3 linked regions of the Bombyx mori genome follow. The protein of the gene in region 1 purifies or fractionates together with the protein of each later gene. This does not show direct contact. Links are inferred from orthologs where the notes say so. Each region holds a gene or a part of one and is shown in the gene's direction. Other genes may lie near its edges.

Region 1 (4,292 bases):
TCATACCAATTGAAACAGCTGTCCACCAACACCCCCAAGTATCTGATATTATCAGTCCTAGCAATCTCCGAGCAATTACATGCGGAATATCGTCCATTACATACATGGGCCTTGAGAGTAATAGAATCACGCGGGGGTTGGACAGATTTTCTGCTTGCAAATGTTAAAAATTTGGTTTTGTCAATGTTTAGAGTTAATAGGTTGCGGTTCAGCCTAACAGGGTAATAACTGTGATTTATTAACTGTTTAATATCTGTGAAAGTGCACAAATGTGGGAAAATGAAAGCCGCTGGACGTAACTTTCCGGTATCCTCCAAAAAGTCCACTGAAAAAGTCTCAGTACCTACATAAATGACCACCATTTTACTGAGATTATATTTCATCTTTGGAGGTTATACGTAAGGAGAACCATCTCAGTATATTAAAAAGTGTCCATAAGCCGTTACACTAGCTGTTACACTTAAGCGCCATAACCTGTTACACTTCTGGTATATCCCCCGACCGCTCTGGGGGAAGGTGTAACGCGGCGCCATCAAAGCGGGCTCTCGGCCCGCTGAACGAGGGAACCGGTGGTCGTGTCGCTGGCGGCCGCCGGTCCGGCGTCCGTGGGACGGTGGGATGGATGTAATGTGCTCTGCGTCAACCCTGTCCCGCCGTTTCAATAGCCCCGACTGGGCTCCGGCCCGGTCCGAGGTAGGGCGCCGGTTGTGAGTGGCAGGAGTTTTTAGTGAGGTTCAACTCCCACATACCCCACCTGCCACGCGGGTGGGGATCCGGCGATTTTCTCCTGTGAAAAAAAAAAAAAAAAGACTGGTATATTTATTCCGATTTGCACTGCGAGCATTGTAAAGTGTGACGTCAAATTAGTATACAGCCAAGCCGTTCCTGTACAGTTACAGCTTCGATCAACAATAGTAACTGTTGATCGAAGAGTTACAGCATACTGTCATCGACGTTGTCATAGCGGTGTTTTCACTTCAGCAAAAAAATCTTGTTTAAATTTATTTATATTTGAAAATAGAATATTCAAGTTATTGTCAGTTTAATTAATCGCTTAAAGTAAGTATATTTTTAGTAAAAGAAAATATTGATTTTCCAGCAATTTCATCTATAATAACTTAATAACCGTATTATAGAAATGAGGTTATGCACAGTAAAAGTGCTGAAGTGAAGATTTATGAAATCATGTATCATTTCTCCGTTCCATTCACCATCATGTATCATCAATCATTCCTTAAGTTACTACGACTATATACTGTCAGTCCTTAACGTAGGTAACGAATAGCAGTGAGAGCACTGAAGAGTGCTCGCAGTGTAAATCGAAACATAGCCTTCACTGCAATCCAGCACACTACACTCAGTTTAAAACTTCTATATTCATACTATTTCCCCTTGCGACACTAGCGCTAATTCGGTGATTTTCGAACTATAATTTGCTGTTTACAGATGCGACACTTTTTCAACTTGTCCCCTATACAAGATGGCGCCTCCTTACCTCTACCCTCCATAATTTCATCCCATCTCATTTCACATGATTTCATTTCATTTTAATTAATTTCAGTTCATTTCATTTCATGCCATGTTTCATATTATCAACTTCATTTCATAAAATCATTTTTCATATAAAGAAATATATAAAAGATTAGGCTATATGGTATGATACCTTTGCCTTTCCAATTGGAAAATAAAACTACTACTAATCTATGGTATACAGTTTAAGTGTATAATCTATGGTAGTATACACGAAATCACGAAACACTAGACCATAGACTATACTTAACTTTAGACCCTAGAGCAGTACATTCACTTTGTTTAATTTTTTAAAGTACATATTAATTTAGTGACTTAGTGAGTGTGAAGCGAAAGAACTCTACAATGGAATCTGAAGTGGTTAAAGAAAAGATTCATACAGAACCGATCCTGAACGATCCACGATACATAACCTTACTTAGCCTTATTGTTCTAGCAGTAACCCTCAGTAAGTTGATATTTTGAATTTATTAACTACACAGATCGTTTCTGCTTGTGTATTTTTAAACTCAAGTTATTGTGCCATAGGTAATTTGGTGCTAAGGGGTTTGTTAAATGTTTAAAGCCATAAAGTGATTTTGGAGGGTAATCTATTTATCTACAAACATTCTAAGGCACTGCCAAGTAATTAGTGACTTTACAGGAAGGTCTTGTTAATTTGCAGCATGGCTAACTCAGTTCAGAATGTCAACATTGGGCAGCTCTAGAATCTAGTTTGCTGGTAAACAGATGTGATGATTTTTCCAATATGCTAACTTCACATTTTTTCTGATATGTGGCTCGAGTAACCTCACAGATAATAGTGATAAGTAGGGTTACTAAGTTGTCTACGTAGTTTATGGGTGCATTATTAAAACTTTTTATTCGATTGCTTAGAAAACAACAGAAAAACAGGCTTGTTTGCTTAATATTTATTTCATATTGAATTTTCACTTGACAAATTTTGAAAGTAGAATTGTTGTAATCAGCTTAAAAATGATGCTTTACAGTCATAAAGCTATTGGGGTCAAATGTTCAACACCATGTTTACAACAGAACTTGTTGGCTAAATATAAATGCTGTAGTTTATAAATAATCATATTTTTAATAAAAAAATTTATTTCAGTATTTTGGTGGATTTTCTCTCGAAGGTATACTCTTCGCAACTCAGTATTGTTAATGGGCCTATCAGACTCTGGCAAGACTTTGCTGTTTGTAAGACTCGCTTACTCTCAATACAGACAGACTTTTACTTCTATGAAAGAAAATATTGAAGAGTATATAACTTCTAATGTTAGTATTTGTATAAGTATTTTAAAGTTTTAGGTTACTAAACTATAAATGAACGACGAGATAACCATGAATATATAAACTAACGCATGATGTCATGTGTTGCAATTTTGACTGTGGTTTAATTGGAAAATCGTTAGAAATATATATTGGAAATTATTTTATTTAGTGATTTAGCATATTAATCATTATAATTTAACAAAAATAGTAATTGATTAATTATTTTGACTCATTATTGAAGATCCATCACTTCGATAAAGCGGCACGACACGAGAACCCTCTCATCGTGGCCGCTGGTAACTACATTCCCGATCCTGTGGACAGAATGGAAAGCAGTCGACGTCGCCCAAAACACGTCATCTCGGATCCTCCCGATCCACTAATGGTGCTTTTAGGTACTTCAAGCACCGGTCACCGTTCTCGTCGAACCCGTCGCTCTCGACGAAGGGCTCGACGAGTAAATTAACTCTCAGACACAGCCCACTGAGTTTCTCGCCGGATCTTCTCAGTGGGTCGTGTTTCCGATCCGGTGGTAGATTCTGCGAAGCACGGCTCTTGCTAGGGTTCGTGTTAGCAACGTCATCAGGTTTGAGCCCCGTGAGCTCACCTACTAGCCACGGTTACGCTGAAATAGCCTCTAAGGCTATCAGCTAAGGTAGGAAAAAAAAAAAAGATCCATAATAACTAAGTTTGTTTTGTTTTGGTTGCCTATTGAAAGTGGTCTGGTCTTATGATTGGCAATGGGTTTCCCATTGTTGGTGTCCATGATTTCAAGGAGTAAAAGAAATATTTTATTAACTTACCTAACTGGATTTTTATTATTACAGAAAACATTGAAAATAGTTGATCTGCCTGGACAAGAGAGACTGAGAAATAAATTCTTTGAACAGCACAAGAGTAGTGCTAAGGGAATTGTGTTTGTGATTGATTCTATCAATATACAGAAAGAAATCAGAGATGTAGCAGAGTAAGTAAAGGCAGTAGACACTCAATGAAAGTCACTACATATGGAGATTCGCCTGGGCGAATGCATCTTTTTATAATTACTTTTATTCGTTGTTTGTTCTGAATTAAATTCTAATCACGAGTATAGCAGCATATTATCACTATAATCCTCACCCCCACCTCCGTCTTGGGGGAGGCTTATGTACAGCAGTGAATGTCAGAGGGCTAATTTTTTTTATTGTTTGTTCCAAACCACATTAATAAAGCAACATTAATCATCACTGAACTACTACTTACTGGAAATCAACATCTAATAGTTTCGTTCTTACCTCTGAAGAAGTTAAGGTATTGTTTTGAGAAACCGGTCTTATGTGACCACAGTTTCTTGATTGTATCTCAATTAATAAAAATAAATGAATAAATGTTTTTAGTAGGATTTATTAAGTTTTGTGGCCAGTATTTAATAATTTCAACAACAGAAATTAAATTGTCTGCATTGCTCCAAATTTGCCTGTGAGTGAGATTAATCATGTCTATGTGTTTACAAC
Region 2 (3,528 bases), on another chromosome or scaffold:
TATTGCCTTTGTATATATATCTTTTAAATCTCTGTCTTCAATGGGTTGATGTTGGATGGTTAAATTTGAGGTGATTGGGTTCTGTAGGTGATGGAGGGCTATTTAAAAACACACTGCTTCATTATAATTATATTGCAGATAGTTTGAACACCATTTTAAAATTATTATCTTTATATTTTTATAAAACTTCTTACATGTTTCTTTGACCGTGTCTAGATTAGAAGTATTGACTTTTTCTTACGAGAATACAATCATCTGTTTTTTAAACGTTTAAAATAATTCTAATATTCGAAATCTGTAATCATGCGTCAAGTGCTGCCTGCCATTACATTTATATTCAAACTCCAACAGTTGAACTGAATTAAATTCAATTCACCCAACTGAACTGAGAACTGTCTAAGCATCTTCATGCTTAGACAGTTCTCTAACAGACCTAAATTTGATCGTGTCTGCTGCACCACGCTCTGAGCGAAGCTCTCATAGCTGATATGTCATACATTATAACACAAATGTGAAACCTAATAAAAAAAAGAAACAAAAAAGTTAAAAATTGTGTATTTTTTCTAAACTTTGAAACCGAGTTTTAAAAAAAAGCAAGTGTTCAAATATCAGGCATGTACCTTATCTATTCTCGCCACAGTGAGCAAAAAAGTGCCTTAACATAGAAATAAAAAAATATATTTAAAAAATCATAACTCGAAAACTATTAAAAATCGCGGAACGTACATGGGGGTGGTTCGGATAGCCCTAGTGATGTTCTACCTCTGGACTTCGGCTTGACACTATTTTTTAGGGCACCCTGTATAAGCGACAGAAGCTTTATAGAGTGGTGTAACATTTATTTCTGTCTCTCTTCCGTCTCCATTCGATCTGAAATGCTTTCGGCTACTGTAAATTTACGAGCAAAAGACTTCAGATCAGATTGTGTATAATAATTTTTTTAAGGGATTTTATGACCTGATAACTTTCTTCGGATGTACATACTGACTTTTTATTTTTTCACATAAAATTATACGACTAACTAATTAATGCTAGGCAACAACTATTCTTCTTAATAAACTTATGATGGTTAGATGGTTGGATGGCAAGAAGACCAGTTCTAACATGAAGAAACACTAAATAGACAAAATAAAACAAATCACACAACTTCACTCCACGTGTTCCCGCCAAAAAGTCCATGTAGCCATCACAGATTAAAATATTTATTACTATTAAAATATTTATTACTACTTAAAGCCATGCTTACTTTGCCTTTTCAATTGGATAATTTTAAAAAGAGAATTTGGTTAGTGTCTACTCTGTGAGGACATTATTGATTTGTCAATTCAATTTGTCAAAAACGAGTAAAACTTACGTGTTATTGAAGGAAAAAACATTTAAAACATAAACAAATCCTCTTAAAATGGATATAACACCATTATTTAAGGCTTGCATAAAAACTGTTAAAACTCGTAACAAGGCTTTCGGCATACACAGTCCGATTAGCGAAGATAAGCAACGCATATTGAGGGTGAAATCAAAAAATGCTTTCATGGCAACAGCTAAGGATATTTGTTCACAAATTACAAAGCTTAGGGACTTTTTATTGGAACACCGCGATAAATATTTAAGCTTCTTCAATAATGTTACTGGAGACGATATGTCTGATGAAGAGCGCGACCAAATAGACACCGGTGCGCAACGTATCATGAACACATGCTCACACCTGCTAAAAGAGTTCAGGAATGATAATCGAAGAACTACAGTGACCCCACAAACTAGGGAATATATGGACTCAGTCGTAGATTTAATTGATGCTTATTTAAAAGCTGTTTGTAAAGTGCATAGTGAATTGAAAGCAATGAGAGTTAAGCGAGCTTTAGATATGAGAAAATTGTCTAGACTTGAGCTACCAGCGACCAAATCTAGTATTCCTAATCCGTTTACACTAGATAAGGTAATAGAAAAAGAGAATGAGACAGAAGATGAAAAAGAAAATACAAAAACAAAATTAGACTTATCAGAGAATGAGATGGCAATTATGTCTGATGAAGGAGAGTTGACTTCAGAAGAGTTGCAAATGTTTGAGTCGGAGAATGTACAGCTGTTAAATGAACTAAACAGTATGACGGAAGAAGTTAAACAAATTGAAAGCAAAGTACTACACATTGCAGAACTTCAAGAAATATTTACTGAAAAGGTAAAAGGTTAAAATTGAATAAATACATAAGCCATTTAAAAAAAAAAACAGATTACAAGAAAAGAATATCTGCCACCAGAGAGGATGAATGTTGTTTATTATAGTCTGTGTATTATATCTTTATAAAATTGCACATACTGGTACATACATATCATAACTATCTTGATCTTAAAATATTCATATTTGGATGTTCTTTCATACGTAAACTATTGGATGTAAATAAATTTTTCAAATCCATGATACTTTAATTGATTTATTTAGATTCAAATTGATATTACTGTTTGTAAAAGTATAATTAACAGTAGCGGTTAAGAATATCTGCCACCAGAGAGGATGAATGTTGTTTATTATAGTCTGTGTATTATATCTTTATAAAATTGCACATACTGGTACATACATATCATAACTATCTTGATCTTAAAATATTCATATTTGGATGTTCTTTCATACGTAAACTATTGGATGTAAATAAATTTTTCAAATCCATGATACTTTAATTGATTTATTTAGATTCAAATTGATATTACTGTTTGTAAAAGTATAATTAACAGTAGCGGTAGGCAGGTAGCTTTTAATAATGAGATATACAAACAGTTTGTCTGACATAAAATGTAAAAAGTGTAAATATGTTTCAGGTTTTACAACAAGAACAAGACATAGATAGAATATCGAATACAGTTGTCGGGGCAACTGAAAACGTTAAGGATGCCAATGAACAGATTAAGCAAGCTATACAAAGAAACGCAGGCCTAAGAGTATATGTTCTGTTCTTCTTACTGGTCATGTCGTTCAGTTTGCTGTTCCTAGATTGGTATAATGATTAAATTTAGTAGTTACTGGTGGTTTTGTGTTTCATTTTCTAAATAATGATAATTTTACAAAAAAAAGGAACAGTTTTGATGATAATAAAATGATCTTAATTGAAATTTTGGAATCAATGATGTTAATATTTTCGCTTTAAATAAACACGTTTTATCAGAGGCTTCTTATGTTTTTTTATGTGAATACGCAAATATTTCACTATCGGTTATATAAAATATACACTATTATTGCTAGAGTTTCGATCTATACTTTAGCCAAACATTTTTTTAGTTGTTTAAAATACAACTATACATATACTAACTAACTATTATACTTATGCTACTAACTTTAACTTATATGAATCTTAGTTGATAACATGAGAAAATGCTGTTAATTAACGTTGTACCATCTATATTATTTTAAAAATACCACTATTTTATTAATTTAGTTACAAATATAACTTCGGTTTTTTACCAGTCGACTAACTTGGCTGTATGTGCTATTTTCTCTTGGACTATCTATTTAAACGTCAAAGTCCAAACTGTCAA
Region 3 (4,307 bases), on another chromosome or scaffold:
ATGTATTTGCCTCTCATCAGGTTGTCAATCAACTCATTATTATCACGCCCTGAACTCACTGCACCTCCCATTTTTAATGATTCTTTTCTACCACCACCTTTAAGAAGAACTTCCCTCGCACCTCAGCTGATTCTTGACGTGACGTCACTTGTTTTTCAACATATTTTGCACTTCATTTCAAAAAAACTTACTTTTAGAGTCAAAACTATCTATTAGACGTTTTAAATAAAGAATTACGATATTGTTTTAAAACTGGATTTCTCTCTATCGGCGAATGGGTGCTAAGAGTAGCGATCGTTCAACCATTTTCCTTTTGGTTCTCGTTGATTTCATTGATTAATAGCAAAGAGTAAAGATTAATGGTTGTTTACGGTATGTAGTGATTATTATTGTCTTTGGTTGGTACCAGGATTGGAATAATACAAGACTTGGCTGCGGCCTTATTAAAAAATTTATTTCAGGAAGAAATTTTAAAGGACTTGGCTTCGGCCGTAATGATTTTTTTATTTCAGGACATAATATAAATCATATAAGGGCTCGGCTTTTTTTAAAAATGACAAGGTTGTATAGGCCTAAGGAAAAATTGTACCAAAAAAAAATGTCTTTGGTTGGTCAAAATTAATTCTTGAGTAGTTTTTGACGGGAGCGCGAATAGAATTGTGTTTGTGTTAACGTTTCTTCATGTTTAAATGTATAATAAAGAAGATTTATTAACTGTTTATCCTCTGTTAACGTGCACAAATGTAGGAAAATGAAACAAAGTTGCTGGACGTAGCTTCTTGGGTTCTTTTAAAAAGTAGACTGAAAAAGTTTCCGTAAATAACCACCATTCTATTGAGATTTCATCCCTTCTCAACCCGTTTCATTTAATTTCATTTCGTAGATATGAATAACAATTTATGCATAGGTGTTTTGAAATATTTTATGATATACTTAAATGAAACTAATTTTCATGAAAACATAATTTTTTCAGTAATTTTATATTTGATTAAACTAATATACCTAATAAGTGGTTTTTTATCTTGTTTTCAAAATGTACTCGTACTGTTTTAGTAATTATGACAACATAAATAAAAAGTGCGTGTAAACACCAGCGTGTGGCCTACCCTAGATAATTAGATAACTCTATTATACAACCAACTCATCTGATCTTAAGGGTTAATTTAGTATTACCTAGTGTTAGAAATATACTTCTATTTTTAAAGAGGCATAATTTTAATAATTTTCCATTCATTGGTAAAGGTACGAAATAAATAATTACAAATCTTTCCTTATTTAAAAAATAATTGAAATAAAATAAATCCTAATCGCTTTTTTGTAATTACTTCCCATATCAGATATCGTATACTGTAGAAAAGATAAAGATATGTACTGCGAGTTCCAATATTTTCCATAAACATCGACTGTCATGGGACCCTTGTCCTTACAGCTGACAATTGACAATCAAGATTTTTTGACGCTGAATGACATCTACTGACAGATCAGCAATCAGCATACCACGGGATTGGAAATGTGATTTATTTATTTATTAACAAGTTTCTATATGAAATAATAAACTCAAACATCAAATTTAAAGTGGCAAGTGTTGTATTGTTATTGACCTTTCTCTGCAAACAATAACTTGTTATAAATTTATAATTTGAATATATTTTGTCGTGTCACAATAACATCCAAGCGAACGTCACTACACCAGTATCGTGATAACGCTTCATAAATTGAAAATTTCAGTTCCAAAAAAGAATGTCAAGTTGTGATTATTAAATATTTCGTAATGTAGGGAAATGGCGGAGACTAGTCAAGCGCGAGCGAGCCCCTCGGCGCCTGGGGGCGACGCTGGTGGCGAAGAAGACAAACATGACGAAAGAATGCTAGAATGCAACATCTGTCTGGACACAGCCCGTGATGCAGTCGTCAGTATGTGCGGCCACCTCTTCTGGTGAGCTCATTGTCGTAATTAATACAGTAAATAATTAGATTTAAATCTAATGGCTGAAAGATTTTTTATGAATATTCACAACTATTGAAAAGGTAAAATATCATTTGAATAATTTGCATTAAACTATGCTCATTATTATTCATTCTCATTACTTACCATTGACCTTGTAATGCAGTAAAATCAATACACTGAATGGAATGAACTATGAATGGGAACAGCTGTGCTTTGTGCTACAACATAATTGTATCTATCTATTTATTGATTTATTAAAAATGTTAAAAGACAATTTATTTTAATCAAAATTAATTCTATATTAAAACAGATCTTTAAAATCAGGATTTACATTAAATAGATTAGTAGAGCCATGGTCTCTCAAGAAGGTGGTGGCATACAATATGTACATTTGAAAATTGAATGCTTTTTCTCTTTAGCATCAGCCCTCTGATGTTTTCTCAGATTTGATTGATTTGATAGTCAGGGTCTCTCAAGACTATAGTTTTGTTTTGTCAAGGAGAGCCAAAGAAGGCTATAAAATAAATTTTCCTATATTGTAAAAAGTAAATACAGCTTTTTATCTACTGGTAAAGCGTCCTCAAGCTGGTAGGGCCAATTATTGGACCATAGTGATGCACACTCTTTAGACAGGGGCTCAGATCAGTTTAGCTGGCTTAGTTTACCTACTATAACAGAAAAGTTACTGAATTTCTAGATAAGAACTTGTTCAACATAAACTGTTATATTACTGTTAATCAGTACATAAAAAAAAATTTATGCTTATGAAAATACTGTATTGTAAAATAAATTTCATATACACTATCATATAAAAGTTTAAAATAATATTATATATTTGGAGCTACTTAAAAACACAACACTGTTTAGAAACAAACATAGTTAAGTCTAATAAAAAATAGTAAAATTAAAAACTAAACCAAATAAGAATTTAACATACAATATCAATATTTACCTATTTAAACTTTAGCCTCATTGAAATGTCCCTCGTGTTTTTTTAATTATCTTCACACATATCTCTAGGCAAAATAAATTTCCTGAAATATTCTTTATTCAGCTTTTTCCACTTACTTTCCAATAATTTCAAAACATTGAGTTTGTTGGTGAACAATTTTTTACCCTCCCAGTCGTTCATGCCAAATGAATTCAATGGGAGAAATGAAGTCAGCTGATTGGCAACAGAGAAAACTTGAACTTGTTAAATTGTTAGAGAACCTTTGCATATTTTATGAGATTATATAATATGATTTATAATGCAAGGTCTGAGTTTAACCATATCTTGTGTTCACTTGCTACTCATTGCGCACTAGTGTTTTTCAAAGAGACTATGATGGTATATTGTTTACAATGCAGCTGGCCATGTTTACATCAATGGTTGGAAACCAGACCCAGTCGGCAAGTCTGTCCTGTTTGCAAGGCTGCCATCAGCAGAGAGAAAGTGATCCCGCTCTATGGAAGAGGAAACACAAAGCAGGAAGACCCAAGAAACAAGGTAAGTAATACAAAAAAAATAATGTAAAATTATAGAAACCACTTTTGTTGTTTCTATACTTCTGAAGCATAATATTGTCAACAACAACACAGTTGAAACTTTTTTAACTTCAGATGAAACTTTTTTAAACTTCAGATGTATGTATGTTAGTGAGTAACGGAATCTCTGAACATGATTTTGACCTTAAAAACGTCGGCTTAACGACTAGTTCAAGTAGTTATAAATATTTTATGAACAGATATGAGTAGAAGGGTTATTTTGATAATATCCTGAAAAGCACCCCATGCTTTTTTACAATAAAATCATTTTTTCTTACACTATTTTTAATTCAAATTTATTAAAATTTATTTTCTATTTTTAGTTGGATTTTCTATAAAAGCGTATTTTGTTAGCTTTTGAAACTAGTGAAGAAATACTTTTTTTTTGTAAATTAACTTAAAGCTTATCACTCCTATTTTATTTGAATCAATTATGCCAATGTTCTAATCAACCCGATAAAAAAATCCTAGCATTAATTATTTATATATTGAAGACTATACTTAACATTGTATGATAAAAATGAAATCCGCACATTTTTATGATTTGCATCATTACTGGTGGTTGGGCGTAATAAGAGCCCACACAAGTTGGTATTACCGTCGTATCCCTTATGCTACAAAGCAGTGTTGCAGGGCGATTAAAATGCTGGAAGCAATATAATTGAGACCTTAACTTCATGCCCAGATATGTGACTATTGAGTATAGTATTGATACATTCACCTCACTTTAGTGTGGTCCGTGGCACTTACTTGGTGATATAGACTGACAGGCATCTAAAACCAAGTGGACCCTGTGGTCCACTGATCAGTGATTGCTGCTCATATAAAGTTT

Evidence for each region. The genes of interacting proteins can lie anywhere in the genome.
Region 2: the proteins of signal recognition particle receptor beta subunit (region 1) and syntaxin-18 purify together in Homo sapiens (affinity purification with mass spectrometry; 3 studies listed by BioGRID and IntAct, counting the BioPlex papers as one, with this or other methods). This does not show direct contact. The link is inferred for Bombyx mori from reciprocal best matches to the Homo sapiens genes SRPRB and STX18.
Region 3: the proteins of signal recognition particle receptor beta subunit (region 1) and ring finger protein 5 purify together in Homo sapiens (affinity purification with mass spectrometry; 3 studies listed by BioGRID and IntAct, with this or other methods). This does not show direct contact. The link is inferred for Bombyx mori from reciprocal best matches to the Homo sapiens genes SRPRB and RNF185.

The regions. Positions count from the first base shown.
Region 1 is NC_085114.1:6,494,495-6,498,786, forward strand, and holds the start of signal recognition particle receptor beta subunit, read left to right. Parts: upstream 1-1,489; 5' UTR 1,490-1,875; coding exon 1,876-1,978; intron 1,979-2,635; coding exon 2,636-2,802; intron 2,803-3,626; coding exon 3,627-3,766; intron 3,767-4,292. UniProt on the Homo sapiens protein: Component of the signal recognition particle (SRP) complex receptor (SR). Ensures, in conjunction with the SRP complex, the correct targeting of the nascent secretory proteins to the endoplasmic reticulum membrane system.
Region 2 is NC_085127.1:13,549,927-13,553,454, reverse strand, and holds syntaxin-18, read left to right. Parts: upstream 1-1,262; 5' UTR 1,263-1,402; coding exon 1,403-2,179; intron 2,180-2,814; coding exon 2,815-3,003; 3' UTR 3,004-3,021; downstream 3,022-3,528. UniProt on the Homo sapiens protein: Syntaxin that may be involved in targeting and fusion of Golgi-derived retrograde transport vesicles with the ER.
Region 3 is NC_085116.1:17,094,574-17,098,880, reverse strand, and holds the start of ring finger protein 5, read left to right. Parts: upstream 1-1,500; 5' UTR 1,501-1,578; intron 1,579-1,777; 5' UTR 1,778-1,781; coding exon 1,782-1,936; intron 1,937-3,298; coding exon 3,299-3,437; intron 3,438-4,307. Other genes in the region: protein IWS1 homolog, read right to left, coding at 1-71. UniProt on the Homo sapiens protein: E3 ubiquitin-protein ligase that regulates selective mitochondrial autophagy by mediating 'Lys-63'-linked polyubiquitination of BNIP1.